2 linked regions of the Astyanax mexicanus genome follow. The protein of the gene in region 2 purifies or fractionates together with the protein of the main gene of each other region. This does not show direct contact. Links are inferred from orthologs where the notes say so. Each region holds a gene or a part of one and is shown on either strand. Other genes may lie near its edges.

What was found.
Region 1: the proteins of nfkb1 (region 2) and sp1 purify together in Homo sapiens (affinity purification with western blotting, with the first as the bait; 3 studies listed by BioGRID). This does not show direct contact. The link is inferred for Astyanax mexicanus from reciprocal best matches to the Homo sapiens genes NFKB1 and SP1.

What each region holds. Positions count from the first base shown.
Region 1 is NC_064431.1:15,805,053-15,813,031, forward strand, and holds the start of sp1 (transcription factor Sp1), read left to right. Parts: upstream 1-4,977; 5' UTR 4,978-5,077; coding exon 5,078-5,084; intron 5,085-5,848; coding exon 5,849-5,922; intron 5,923-7,356; coding exon 7,357-7,979. UniProt on the Homo sapiens protein: Transcription factor that can activate or repress transcription in response to physiological and pathological stimuli.
Region 2 is NC_064426.1:2,198,553-2,206,121, forward strand, and holds the start of nfkb1 (nuclear factor NF-kappa-B p105 subunit), read left to right. Parts: upstream 1-4,550; 5' UTR 4,551-4,821; intron 4,822-7,569. Other genes in the region: ube2d2l (ubiquitin-conjugating enzyme E2D 2 (UBC4/5 homolog, yeast), like), read left to right, coding at 523-628, 735-828, 1,449-1,497.

The DNA.
Region 1 (7,979 bases), on a different chromosome or scaffold from region 2:
CTTAAAATATCAATAAACTACATTTAAGTTTGTGGTTGTAATGTGACAAAATGTAAAACACTTCAAGAGGTATGAATACATGTACAAGCCATTATACATCTGATCTAAATTCAGTTGTATTCTGAAATACTTTAGAATAAATAACTCCTTATTTAACATTCAATAACTGTAGAAATGTTTGTTCATTTTTTAGAAATGCTCTAGTGGTAGGGAATATTTGTAATTTGGGACGGGGCCGACATTCTCTACCCATGTGGCTGACTTAACGAACTGGCAAATCTAGCAAGCAAACGCTCTCTGAACACCAGCTTTACAGTATTTTGCTGTTCCTCACTCCAACAGCTGAACAAACAGTGAAGATTCAACTTTAATCAAACCCTTTTAGCCCTTAAAGCTCTCTTTTGCCATAATTCCGTCCATCCCTGCAAAAATCAAACATTAAACTTAAATCTAAACCTAAGATTAGTGATCTACACCCAGGGGCAGCACCTGGCATGGACTTTAGGGGCTTCAGTCCCGAGCATATTTTAAAGGTCTCCTTCCAATAAAATCCACTTTTTCTTGTTCTTTGTGAAATAGAATAAGTCTCTTTGAGTTGTACATGATGCTGCACATGAAACTCTTCCTGAACCTCTATTGTCTACAGTAGCTGGTAAAAGAAAAGCCTCAGAAAAACTAGTCGATCAGTAAAAGCACATGTGTACGTCAATCGGTGAATTAATATTCATGGCCTCACCCATGATTTTGGGGAAAACTTACACTGCACTATAATTTGTTGATCTGTAATATATATTGAGATTTAAAAAAAAATAGAGGTAAAAAATACAGTGCAACAGGATTGAAAATCGGGGTCAGATCGGGTATTTTTCAAAGGATCAGAATCAGGTGGAAACTATACATTTGATTTGTTTTTGTTTTTTTTTTACTATATTTTTTATACTATTTTATTATATTATTATTTTTTATATTATTATATTTATATATTATATTTTTATTTTTAACTATGCCGATTATTCCACCCACTCAGTTGCACTCACTCGATTACTAGCACATACCTGTCAAGTTTTAGATTTAAAAATAAGGGATATTTTCCTCTGTACGCTTAAAGCCGTCCCACCAGCCCAACGAAGGTTCAGTATCCCTCACATTTTAAAACAGGTTTACAAGAAATATAAAATAACCACAAGTGAACCACTTACACACTACAATTAGATTATAAGAATCTGAAATGTTGTGGACATTCCTACATATGTCATTCTTTTAATACAGCCAAATTAAAAATCCTTTTCTTTTTTTAAAAAATTAAGATTTCATGTCTTTTTTGTAATAAATGCACTCTTTTATATGATATATTTTTTATTTATTTAATGGATTTAAAATTGAACAAAGGGTGCACAAATTCTGCAAAATGACTGTTGGTGACCTAAACATAGTATCATGAGCTTTTACTAAAAGGACATGGACCAGATATGTTTCATCAGTAAAAATTTGTCCTAAGGGGCCTACACAATAATTTTTAATTAATACTTCTTCCTTTTGATCACTCCACCCCTGATCAGTTCAGTTAATTTCGGTCCTCTCCACATTTCTAGTTAAACTGAGTCACAAGTTGTAAATTTGTTTATTTTAAAAGGTTTAATCTGTGTGTTTTATTTCGGAGACGAGTATTTTTAAGCAGCTATCAGAAAAATCTCATCACAGTTTCCATGATTAGCCTACCGTTCCCTTTCTTTAAGAAAAATCGCTGTATATCCAGATCTACGGTGGCTGAGAAAGCCCAACGCAGTGCAAATTGAAAAGCGCTGCAAAAGCACAAAACACATCCATCAAAATTACAACACAGGCGCAGCAAATAGAAAAACGCGCTGCAAAAAGAAAAACGCGCTGCAAATAGAAAAACGCGCTGCAAATAGAACCACAACACAACGGAAGTGAGTCACAACACAACGGAATTTTCCCGGGGGACCTTAAAAGATACTGTACCAGCTAAGCTGCGTCTTCAGTAACGTCTCGGACTTCAATATGTGTACAAAGGACAATACGTGGCAAACAAGGCGTTTTGTGAAGCAGAACTTTTAATAATATGCACACAACCGTGGTAATCACAGGTAATAAACATAACTTACTTTTCAGAAGCTTGTTTGCCACTTATTGTCCTTTGTATACAGCTGGTACAGCATCTTTTAAGGTCCCCCGGGAAAATTCCGTTGTGACTCACTTCCGTTGTGTTGTGGTTCTATTTGCAGCGCGTTTTTCTATTTGCAGCGCGTTTTTCTTTTTGCAGCGCGTTTTTCTATTTGCTGCGCCTGTGTTGTAATTTTGATGGATGTGTTTTGTGCTTTTGCAGCGCTTTTCAATTTGCACTGCGTTGGGCTTTCTCGGCCACCGTAGGGGTTTCCCGGCCAAAACGGGAGACTTGACAGGTATGCTAGCAACATACCTGTCAAGTTTTAGATTTAAGAATAAGGGATATTTTCCTCTGTACTCCTAAAGCCGTCCCACCAGCCCAACGAAGGTTCAGTATCCCTTACATTTTAAGACGGGTTTACAAAAAATCTAAAATAACCACAAGTGAACCACTTACACACTACAATTAGATTATCAGAATCTGAAATGTTGTGGACATTCCTACATATGTCATTCTTTTAATACAGCCAAATTAAATACCCTTTTCTATATATTTAAAAAAATATATAAGATTTCATGTCTTTTTGTAATAAATGCACTCTTTTATATGATATATTTTTTATTTATTTAATGGATTTAAAATTGAACAAAGGGTGCACAAATTCTGCAAAATGACTGTAGGTGAACTAAAAATAGTATCATGAGCTTTTACTAAAAGGACATGGACCAGATATGTTCCATCAGTAAAAATTAGTCCTAAGGGGCCTACACAATAATTTTTAATTAATACTTCTTTCTTTTGATCACTCCACCCCTGATCAGTTCAGTTAATTTCGGTCCTCTCCACATTTCTAGTTCTAGAGTCACAAGCTGTATTTTTTTCTAAAGTCACAAGCTGTATTTTTAAGCAGCTATCAGAAAAATCTCATCACAGTTTACATGATTAGCCTACCGTTACCTTTCTTTTAGAAAAATCGCTGTATATCCATGTATGTTTTAACATCAGCAGCTCTAACTAGCTGCCTGAACTCACAGCGACGGGGGGCTTTCCCACACTGACCCTCCTTTGTAAGCTGATTGGCTGTTTCTCCTGAAAGGCGGGACTTTCTCCTTGAATCGGCTCCACGATTGGTTAAGAGAGCGGTCAGTGCCCTGTCTCCTCAATAATATATATTTTTTTATTTAGTATAATACGGGAAATTTACGGGAAAATACTAATACGGGAGGACGGCGGGAAAGAGGAGTAAAATACGGTAGTTTCCCGGCCAAAACGGGAGACTTGACAGGTATGGCTAGCAATGCCTCCTCTGACACATGTAAAGCCAGCTACCACCTCTTGGAAATGCAGCATTAGCGAGTAGCGAGCACGGTCACAAGAAAGCACAGTGACTCGGCTCTGATACATGAGCCAACAGATGCCTGTGCTGACTGATATCACCCTTTGGAGTGATGTGGGAAAAAAGCGCCATCTACACACCTAGAGAGAGCAAGACCAATTGTGCTCTCTCTCGGACTGATAGCGAGGTGCATGACTGGGATTCGTGGCAGCACTTTATTCTTCTGGACCACTTGGAGTCTCTTATGCATCATATTGCTATGGGTGGGCGAAATAATGACATTAAAAAAAAATATATATATACATATATATATATATATATATATATATATATATATATATATATATATATATATCATGGTTTTAATATTGTGGTGATTAATACAGTACATTTTTATGTCACTGACACCACTAATATAAATATAATTAAAATTCGCCAATCTAACAATGACTCTTTTTTTTTACATTTAAATAATCCATTATTAAAAGCTTATGAATGTTTGGTAGGCCACATGATTTACACATGCGTGCACAGTTTGATATTTTCACTGGTGATTTTAATGTTTTCAAGTAAATATAGTAATGTGTCTTATAGTATGTAATTATTATTCTTTAAAAGCATAGACTAGTACAATATAATACTTTTAAAATGTGATATGAAGTGGTATATTTTGATTTTAAAAAATTGGTTATTTAAAAATAACAACTTGGATGTGTTTTTTTTTTTTTTTTTTTTTTTACTGCATTGCCAGAGTATCAGATCGGGATTGGTATTGACAGATACACAAAATCTAATTTTCTCTTTGTGCATATAGTAAAACTGGAGTAAAATAAATTATATTGCAGTTTGCAAAGACAGTATTAAACATTATATTGTGCAGTCCTGCCCTAAACCTGTGCTTATCTGGTTGGATTCTGAGCAAAATTGATACTCAAATCAATATTTATTAATCATAATATGACTAATAATAAAATAAAAATGTTATAAAATTTCAATTTCAGTTAGTTGTAGATATTTTATTAGTTTTCTTAGTTTAAATTACATTAAAACTAAACTAAAACATGAACATTTAAAGCAGGTTCTTCCTTTTTTACGGCCACCAGGTGGCGGGGTAACCTACATACATGTAGGTGTAACAGAGGGCTGCTACGGAGAAGAGGCGGGCTCCTATAACCTGCTCTCTGTGTTCTGATTGGTTAAAATCTCTCAAGACTTCTCAAACAGGGCGGAGTCTTCCTACGAGAGGAACCAATCAAATCTAAGCCACGGTTCTCCCGCCTTTTTTGGATACGCTTACTACTTCCAACCACGTCATCCCACGTTTTAATACACTTTACTGCTAATTATAAACCTAGCTTACTTTAACACTAGATATTAATCTGTATTAATTTATATAAAATAATAATAACACAAATAATAACCGAGAAAACGCTTCAGGTGTGGCCTACATGGGCGGTGGCACAGTTCTGATTGGCTCGGATAAAACCGGAGGGCGTTTTGATTGGCTGTCCGCCTTCGCCACGCCTGTCTATCATTTCCAGGCAGGCAGCGAGTTCGGTTGAGTTGTTTGTAAGTTGATGTGTGTCCAAAAAGAAACTCCTGCGTGTTAAAAAATGAGCGGTAAGTTGAGTTAATTCGGTTTAAAAGCGGGTTTTTAACGAGTTAGTCGAGTTAAGGTGAGGTAGGCGTGATAATAAGCACTTTTCGGGGCGGTTTTGTGGGGTAGGTTTAGTCTGCAGTGACTGTAAGTGTCTGAAATGATTTCTGAAGATTTGTAGTTGGCGAGTTAAAGTACGAAGAAACCGGTTTGAAGTAGGTTAAAAGTTGATAAGTGTAAACGGAGGCTGTTATAATGCGAATTAGATGTGTAGAACTGGATAATTAATAACTGAGTGGGTAGTTAAAGTGTCTAACAGAGACTTCGCTACTGTAGCTACCGCTAGTTTAGCTAACCTAGCTAGCTTAGCTAGCGAGCTAACCTGCTAAGGAACCTTAAGTTTTTTTGTACTAAAAAACTTTCATAATGGCTTTATTAAGGTAGCTAGCGGTTAGATAACTAGCTTTTTGGGTGGTAAATCGCTTTATTTAATATTTAATCTGTTGTGTTTTTACTTCATTTACAAGTGTTTTGTCGTTAAAACTTTCATTTGCCTGTTTTAAAATTGCTTGTTTTTTGGAATTGTCCGTTCCACCTTAAAGAGTGCAGCAGTTCCATGGAACTGCTGCACTCTTTAAGGTGGAACGGACTATTGCAAAAGCAAGTCAACTTAAAAGTGGTTTAACGTCTTATTTGCTCTTTAAGCTAAATAATAATTATTAAAGACTAGTAATAACTCAGTTGTAAACCATACAAGTGATTTAAAAATATATTTTCTTGTCTACAGAGCGAAATGAAATGGCTGCGATGGGAGAAGGCGACGGAGACTTCCGTAAAAAGCGAAACACCAAAACAGACCAGGTCAGTAATACAACTGTTAAATATTTGATATAGCTATAGCTGTTATACAGTACTAGGCAAAAGTTTGACCACACACCTTTTCGTTTAGTTTATTTTTTCTTTATTCTTTATTCTTTAGTATTTTCTACATTGTAGATTAATACTGAAGACAACAGGATGAAATAACACATGCAGTTGTAAAAGTCGTGTGTCGTTGCAAGCCTCGTTTTCTTAAAGCTAAGTTTTTTTAAGTAATTGGTTTCTCTATATATTTATGGAAATACATATTTAAGGCATTTTTTATTTACTTTAGTGCATATATCAAACAGTGCACATATTTCTTGGGAGTTTATTAATGGATATTTAAATTTAAATAATTGTTAGTATTATGTTGACAACATTTAAAATGTATTATGTTTAATATTAAAGTTGTATGTAAGGTTGAAGGTGGCTGCTTACTATTACTTTAAAAGAATTAAGAAATCTTATGTATTATATAAATGTTATAAATGTGATTTTGAAGTTATCTACAAGAACTAAAAATCATAATTGAGAATCGCTCATATTTTAAGAATATAGTTTTTTGTTGTACAATATTGATTTTGGTTTAAACAGTGGCAATATATCGCCTTGCTTATATCCCCACCAAGTTCTTTCCATTATACCACCAATACAAAATTTTCTTCAGTTATTTAAAGGCTATATGTTGAGACAAGTGTTGTTGTTTTTTATTATTAGTCTTAAACCAGCTATTTATTATGTACCAAAATCTCTGCACTCTCTGTTTAATTTCAAGTGAAGAAGTTTCGTTGTATTTGGTCGGTCATGTAAGGAAGGAACTCCAAGGAATTCAAATTTGGAGATTAAGATATGGGACAATTATATGGCACATGCTGTACATGATGTAAACACAAACACTCAGTGCTAAACACTGAAATTACTAATTCCTTAATCAGCAATAACAGCTTTATTTACTTCTGCACTGTTGCACTGTAATAAGAACAATTTGTATATATATAATTTTTTTTTAATTATTTCGCTACACCTTGAATACAGTTTACACCTTCATTGGAAAAAATTATGTAAAGTTACTGGAATAAAATTTGATGTCATGTTGTAAACTAGTTACATAGAAATTCTTAAAACCTGACCCACACAAACAGCTCTTTATCTGTTTGTCTTACAAAACCTTTAAGAAGGTCTGTTTTTTTACTAAAAAAGTACCACTTGCTTAGTGCAATGGTCCTAGGACCAGTGTTGGGAAATGCTAAACAGCTAAAATAAGTGTTGGAGGACTTTACGTAATTTTATGTTGCTTTGTGATAACACAATTTATCAATATTTCGTTACATCGTTAATCGTTACATTCCGTGTAATCATACATTATCCCACACTGCATTTTACTAAATCAAAAATGTGATGCATCAAGTTATTCTGAGGTTCTCCTTCCCACAGGATGCCCAGCCGCCATCACCTTTAGCCCTGTTGGCGGCGACTTGCAGTCGGATAGACGAGAACGACGCAGCTGAACAGCAGCTTCAGGTCCATCGGAATGATTTAACCCACACCCAGGTATCTCACGCCACCAACGGCTGGCAGATAGTTTCTCAAGGTGTACAGACGACCACTGCCTCCGGGAATAACGTCTCTCAGAAGATCGTTCAGGATAAAAACCAAACTATCGTGACCTCCGGTGTCCAGCAGCAACAGCAGCAGCAGTATATAGTGGCATCAGCACCCAGCATACAAGGCCAGCAGCTGCTGACCACCATCTCTGGTGTGATGCCCAACATCCAGTATCAGGTCATTCCACAGTTCCAGACAGTGGACGGGCAACAGCTGCAGTTTGCCCAGACTACCCAGGATGCTTCTGCTGCAGGAACAGGGCAGCTTCAGCTCGTGTCTTCGCCCAATGGTGGGCAGCAGCTCATCGCAACGTCGGCCGGCCAGAATACTGGAGCTGGCAACATCCTGACTGTGCCAGGTCTTCTTCAGCAGGCCATTCCTCTTCAGAACCTGGCACTGGGCAACACTGTTCTGCCCAGTCAGACACAGTTTTTGGCTAACGTGCCCATGTC
Region 2 (7,569 bases):
ACAATATTTCATGCTATTTTTCGAGATAGAAAAAAAAAACACTGAATAAAAAAATATAGCTCAAAAATACACTTCTGCAACAAAATAAAAATTATTTTATTATTGCGTACGATATGATATAAAATGGCACACCCCTAACTGAGATTTTTTTTGTCAATGATCCAGAATGTCATGATACTAATAATACACTCTAAATATCTCTATATATCCAGGATTAAAGTAAAATAAATTATATATAATGGGAAATGAGAACAGTATATCCCAATGTTTGTGGACACAAAGCCTAATTAATGCACCGCTTGTCTAGTCACTGTAGAAGAAGTACTGCAAATAAAATAAGAATCTTTAAAGCGGATAAACAGTCAATCATGCTATGCCAGAATTATTAACATTTTTGATCCTACTTTAAAATCATTAGAGTATTTTTCATTTGCATTTCTTTTGCATTTGATTTTGTGTGGATGTATAACACTTAATTCAGTTTGTATCAGTAATCTGTCATTCTCTCCCTCTTCTCTGCAGGTTGCTTTCACCACAAGAATTTATCACCCAAATATTAACAGTAATGGCAGCATCTGTTTGGATATTCTAAGATCGCAGTGGTCACCAGCATTAACTATTTCTAAAGGTAAGCCCCTTCACACTGAACAGTAAAACAGTACATGAGGAGGACTGTGTTTTAAAGTGTTTTGGTGGTTGCTGTGAATAATGATGGTGTTTGATTCTTCCTGCAGTTCTCTTGTCCATCTGCTCTCTGTTATGTGACCCCAACCCAGACGACCCGCTAGTGCCAGAGATAGCTCGCATATATAAAACAGACAATGAAAAGTAAGTATCGTATCATATATTGTGTTTTTTTAAGTGAGAATAATCAATATTGAATGCATTTACAGAACAGAGTTAGTCAGTAATCTGCTTTATTCAATAATTGACGTGTTCATATGAATTGGATAATCGGAAAACAAACAGATTTAAAAGCGGCATTTTACAAAACGATATCCTTATATCGTTATCATGTTCAGTGAATTGTGATATTTTTATAATACTGTGATACTCAATGTGTTACAAGGCATATGTATTACTGAAGAGGATAAAACACTCTTAAATAAGCAAATACCAGGAATTACGGATTTATTTGCGTCAGTTTCACAGAATTTAACAACCAATTTTCTTCACCACAGGTTTAATGACCCTATTCATTTGATTATAGCGCCACCATGTGGAGTAATAAAGCAGTAACTTTAGTAAGTCTAATCGGTGGGCGAGATTTGGGGACTTTAATGCGCCTGTTTTAATAAAATATGCATGCAAGACGCCACTTGTTGATACGGTACGATACGATACAATCGAAACAATGCAATATATCACAATATCGATATAGTGTTCCAGCCCTGCCCTGATCTCAGTGGGGGTCTCACTGATGAGCTGGGCCGCTTTCCCTCCCTCAGGTATAATAGACTGGCCAGAGAGTGGACAGAGAAGTATGCCACACTGTAGGGGTAAGGCCGGGCATTGTGGGAAGTGCTGGTGTGTGTAAGCGTGTTATGCAGATGGTGTTCAGCATTAGGAGAGATGAGGACGGTGTGTAAAACAGAGGCAGAATGCTTTCAGCTTTGACCTTGCTGTTTTTGTGTGTGTGTGTGTGTGTGTGTGTGTGTGTGTGTGTGTGTGTGTGTGTGTGTGTGTGTGTGTGTGTGTGTGTGTGTGTGTGTGTGTGTGTGTGTGTGTGTTGGCATGGGCACAGTTGGCAGAGCAGTGCTCGCTTGCCCAGCATGCGACACTATCGTTACATTAGCACTCCTCAGCACCACTGTTAATCAATCTCTCTCTCTCTCTTTCTCTTTCTCTCTTTTACTTCCTCTCTTACTTGCTTGTTCCTCTCCATATACAGGCGTTTTTGTTCCTACATAGTAAATGAATAGTGAAGTGATCTATCAGACTATGAAAGAACACATAAGTAATCTGTCTGTCTGTCTACTTATTGTTCAGTGGGTCTATCTCCTCTCTCTCTCTCTCTCTCTCTCTCTCTCTCTTTCTCTCTTCTTCATCATCTTTCTCTCTTGAATTAAAGTTTATTAGAATTATAGGTTTAGTTTTTTTATTGGTATTTATCTCTCTCTCTTTCTTTATATCTCTGTCTCTTGAATTCAATTGGTGTTTCTCTCTTTCTCTATCTCTCTTTCTTGAATTCATGTAGTTTTATGTATGTTTCTATTGGTATTTTTTCCTCTGTCTCTCTCGCATTCTTTCTCTCTTTCTTGAATCTTTCTTTCTTGAATTCAAGTAGTTTTTGTTATCTTTCTCTTGATATTCTTTCTCTCATGAATTCAGATAGTTTAGTAGTTTAGTTTGTTGGTATTCTCTCTATCTATCTATCTCTTGAATTCAAATAGTTTTAGTTATGTATCTGTTGGTATTCTCTTTCTCTCTCTCTCTCGAATGTTGGAATTCAAGTAGTTTTATCAGCATGAATTGTAAATAACAGCTGTCAACAAGTTGCCAATGCAAATAATAGAGTGACTAATGATGATAAGTCATGACAAAAGCTAATGAGTGAATAACTTTATGAAAAACAGCAATTAAAACATTTACATAAAGTTTATTTAGGAATATATTTACAGTGGTTTAATGCAGTCTCTCTCTCTCTCTCTCTCTCTCCCTCTCTCTCTCTCTCTCTCTCTCTCCCTCCCTCTCTCTCTCTCTCTCTCTCTCTCTCAGGTATAACAGAATAGCTCGGGAATGGACTCAGAAATACGCCATGTGATACCTGACGGAATCTCACCCCAACAGATCTGCATTATAGCCCCCTTCTCCCACCTTCTCAACGATCTGGCACTTCCCCTCCACCCCCACCAGCCTCCACCACCCCCACCTCATCTCCAACCAAACCAGTGATTTTGTTTAGTTGTTTTCTGTCCCTGTTAAAGTGTCCTGCGCTGCGAGCGAGAGGACGTCACGGCGAGATCACGCTCTGTCCATCTTTTGTAAAACGCTCTCGGGTCTGAACTACGAAGCATGTGTATCGTCGAGGACCCCGCCCACTCTGTAACCAGGTGTAATAAAACAAAGACATAAAGCAAATAAATAAGAGTATCAAGCGCTTTTATCTCACGCCACATACTGGAGGTGCTATAACGATAAAAAAAATCTATATGTATAAATATATAATGAATAAATAAATAAATGAATAGATTAAATAATGGTCCTTTTGTGAACAATCTGTCACTGGGTTGGCCTTCACTTTTTTATATATGAAAAAATGCTTTTACAATAGCAATGATCCAGTCTGTGAACTATACTCCTCCTGCTTCTGACTGACTCGCCACGGGCAGAACCGGCCCCATGGTTCCATCAGCAGTTCTGAAGAATATAAGATCTATTTTATGCATGTCGTTAGGATAATAACCGTGAATGGGTCAGCCGTCTGCTGAGAAAACAGTGTTAAACACACGTGTCCACTTGAGAACTTTTATTTTGTTACTCCGTTTTCCTGGCTGTTTCATTTCTTCCCCCTGTCGTTTATAGAACGAGGAGCTATTAGTTCATCTGCCTTCCTCCTCCACACTGTTGGCTTGTTGCACTGAATTTATGATTGGACGCTCCTGACGGATGACCGGTCAACTAATAGCTCCACTAGCTGTTCATTTGTTTTCTCAATAAAGTTGGTAAAAGTACTGATTTAAGAGTGGTGTCGTCTTTACTGCATGCATTAACTTTAAGTAGTCTTGTAATACTTTGTGTGGGATTGCAATATTAAAAAAATAATAATTATTTGGGTATTTATTTATAATTGTATTTATTTATAAAAATATTCAGTTTCTTTATGTGCATTCATTTATAGAACAGCAAGTTTTATTATTTTCTGGCTATGAATTAATTATCTCAATCCCACACCATAATCAGTCATGGCCATGATCTCATTCACATGCCTTATTTATCTCGTTCCCAAGCATTAGGATCCCGTTCCCATGGCTTAATAAGAATGCTGTTTTCTGACTCTAATATTCTACTATAAAATCTATATAGCAAATTAATCCAATTTTTTTGTTTCCCTGCATTGGAAGCCTGTGTGTGATATTTTATATTTTTATATTGCTCTTTTTATTTCATAAAGCATCCCTAAACATGAAAAAACATGATTAAAAAGTGTTATAAATCACATTAAAATTAGTAGAAATTTGCTGTTACTTTGCCATAATGGCTCTAGTACTTCAGTTTTTCCAGTGTTTTTGCAGTAAATAGGCCGTAGTTACTCTTTCATTGATTTATAAACTTGTTGATTGGGTGTTTTATGGTCTATTCTGATGAATAACATCTCTCAAATAGTGTGAAGTGCAACAAAATATTTAAAAATAAAGAAAATACCTGATGTCCATTATTATAACATTTTACATTTTCTGCAAATAAATCAAATGCTTTAAATGACAATATTTTTATAGCAGTGTTTGTACACACTGTATTATTACACAATTCAATAAGACGGTAATTACCGGGTTTGACCAGCAGGTGTCGCCCCCGCAGCGGCCGGCTTTGCTGGAGGAGAAGTTGCGTTACGTCACAGGGAATTTCCAGTAAGGAAGTGAACTTTTCTTTACAAACAGATCGATCCGCGCTCGAGCGGCGACCATTAACTCGATATCGCCTCCGATCCGCCGGATAATTCACCCGCACTGCGCCCGAGCCTCTCCTCCGCACCCAGCCGAACGCCCGCCCGGCCGGAGCTCTGCGCCACCCGCGGGGCTGCATGGCTCCTTACCCGCCTGCCTGAGCTCTCTCTGCGGACTGACAGCACATGTGGAGCGGCCAGACACACCAGCACAGGTAGCGGACTGAGCTCCACACACTGCACTCTACAGTCTACACACACTTTACTGCTGTTTTACTGCTGTTTATGTCATATAAACACTGACACTTATATCTGCTCTACATATATATATCCTTATATAGAACACCAACTATTGCCTAACTACCTAACTGCTCATAGTATAGTTATTAACTCTAACCATTCACAACATTCATTAAAAATATTACTTTTAAGATATTACTAATCTATCTAATCTGAGATACGTTTTAATATATTAATAGTGGGGAATTAACCCACATTATGCGCTCTATAACACTTTCAAATCATTAAGTCTTAAGATTTCCCTATAATAATAAATCCGCTTTTGTTTCATTTGGATGACTTTGTAGGTAGTTTTGGGCTGTGTCCAAATAAGTACTCTACCTCACTAGTTACTTAGCTAGTTAGCTAACTTAAGTTTGCAGACTATACAGTCAATGGAGCATGAGTAGTAGTATAGCTGGCTAGTGGTTGATTTTGAGATATTTTAAATAAATGTCCCTAAGATTAATCTGCTTTTGTTTTATTTGGATGTCTTTGTAGGTAGGTATCATTCGGCTGCGTTCAAATAAGCACTCTTACACACCTAGCTAGATAACTATACCAGTAGTTTGCAGAGTATATCAAAGCAAGTTAATTCAACACCGTTAGCTAGTGGAGCTATCTAGTTAGCTAGTGGTGATATTCGGGATACAGCCCACTGTTTTAAAGTCTTAAGTCTTACAAATGTCACTGTAATAAATCAAATTTTGGATGGCTTTTAGCTTTGGGCTGCGTCCAAAGCGTCTAGTGGTGGGATCGGGATACAGCCCACAGTTTTAAAGTGTTATAAGGCACTAGTCAATAGTGCAGCACTACTATAGGTTAGGTAGTGGTGGGATTTGGGACGCAGCCCACTCTCAGCACTATCAGACGAAGCTGAACTGAAGAACATGGTCTTGTTATTGATGTGTTTAAACAAATAAAACCACAAGTTTACACTCGTATGTGTTAGTCATTTCATTTCTCAATAAAATCCCAGTATATTAATTAAGAATATGAAATATCAGAGGCTGCTCAGCATCTTAAACTGACTGAAACTGACTCAAACTGAGAGTCTGGGTATTTTGTTGACTTGCCGACTTGTTGGCTTGTTAACTCCGAGTCCCAGTGCTGTTAAAACACTTAATTTAGCACTTTTAAACCGTATAAACTTAATATAAGTTTCCTACACGACAGCGGGTTAAAGTTGCGGCGAAATCCGACCACAATCTCAGAAAATGAAGTTGGATTTAGCTGATTTAGCTGAACTTCGCTCTGCTACTTCCCATTTCCACACACAGACTGAGGGCTTTAGCTTAGCTTAGGTTTAGCCTAGCTTAGCTTAGCATGCTAACTAACATTAGCTCATTAATTCGAGGCTTTGACCGTGTTTTTACAGCTCAGCCGCTTCAGCTTTAGTTAACAGACTGAATAAAAATATAATATGATATATATATATATATATATATATATATATATATATATATATATATATATATATATATATATATATATATATATATATTGGTTAAATAATGTTCAATAAAGAGAAAGATTATTTTAAATATAATTACAGGGCTGTGAAAGTGCACTCACTGTAAATTAGCTAGCTGTTATTTCTACTCCCTGTCAGAGCTTAGCTTTAACCTTTTTTAGGTTTTTATTATTATTTTCAGCTGTAAGTTCTATACGGCTTATTTTATTTTACTCTATACTATATAAGTTAGTATGAAGCCTCAAACAACACTGATAGCAAGAAAGTTGAATAAACCTTCAATTTTTGACTGTATGATGGAAAAGCAACCTTTAATCTTTCATTTAAAAGTTCTTCCATAATATATAATTAATATTAATGCACATTTATAATTAGTACATTTAAATGTCCCTTTCTACAAAACAACAACAATACAAACACGATATATACATATGTAATGTAAGTAAAGGTTAATACAAACAATATACAGCTCTGGAAAACAAATAAGAGACCACTTAAACTTTCTTTGATTTTACCAAATTGAAAACCTCTGGAATATAATCAAGAGGAAGATGGATGAACACAAACCATCAAACCACCAAACTGAACTGCTTAAATGTTCACACCAGGAGTAAAGCAGCATAAAGTTATCCAAAAGCAGTGTGTAAGACTGGTGGAGGAGAACATGCCAGTATGAATTGCAGATAAGCAAAATATTACAATGTCAGTTTTTTCTCTCTAATATCGTGCAACCCTAGCCTGGATCTTCTGAAAGTCTTCTCACAGTCAGTTTTAGGGGTTGATTGTTTACTTGCTGCCTAAAATATCTCATATTAATGCTCTGACATTTGAACTCTCCATTCCATGAGTCTTTCTACGGTCTATTGTTCTTGATCTGATCTGAAGCTACATGACGTTTAAAGGTCTGTAGTGATGGACTCGAGTCGCTGTCATTCCCAGTCTCTTCCACTTTATTAAAATATCACTGACAGTTGGCTTTGGAATATTTAGTAGTGAGTTTAGTAGTAAAATTTCACGACTGGACTTGTTGTTGCACAGGTGCTGCATCCTATCACACGGTACCACAGTGCGTTCACTGAGCTTCTGAGAGCAACCCATTCTTTCATTATTTTTTTTTATTCACACCTGTGGCCATGCAAGTGATTGGAATACCTGAGTTCAGTTAATTGGATGATTGGTTGATTGAAAACATTTGGTTTTAAGCTCTTAT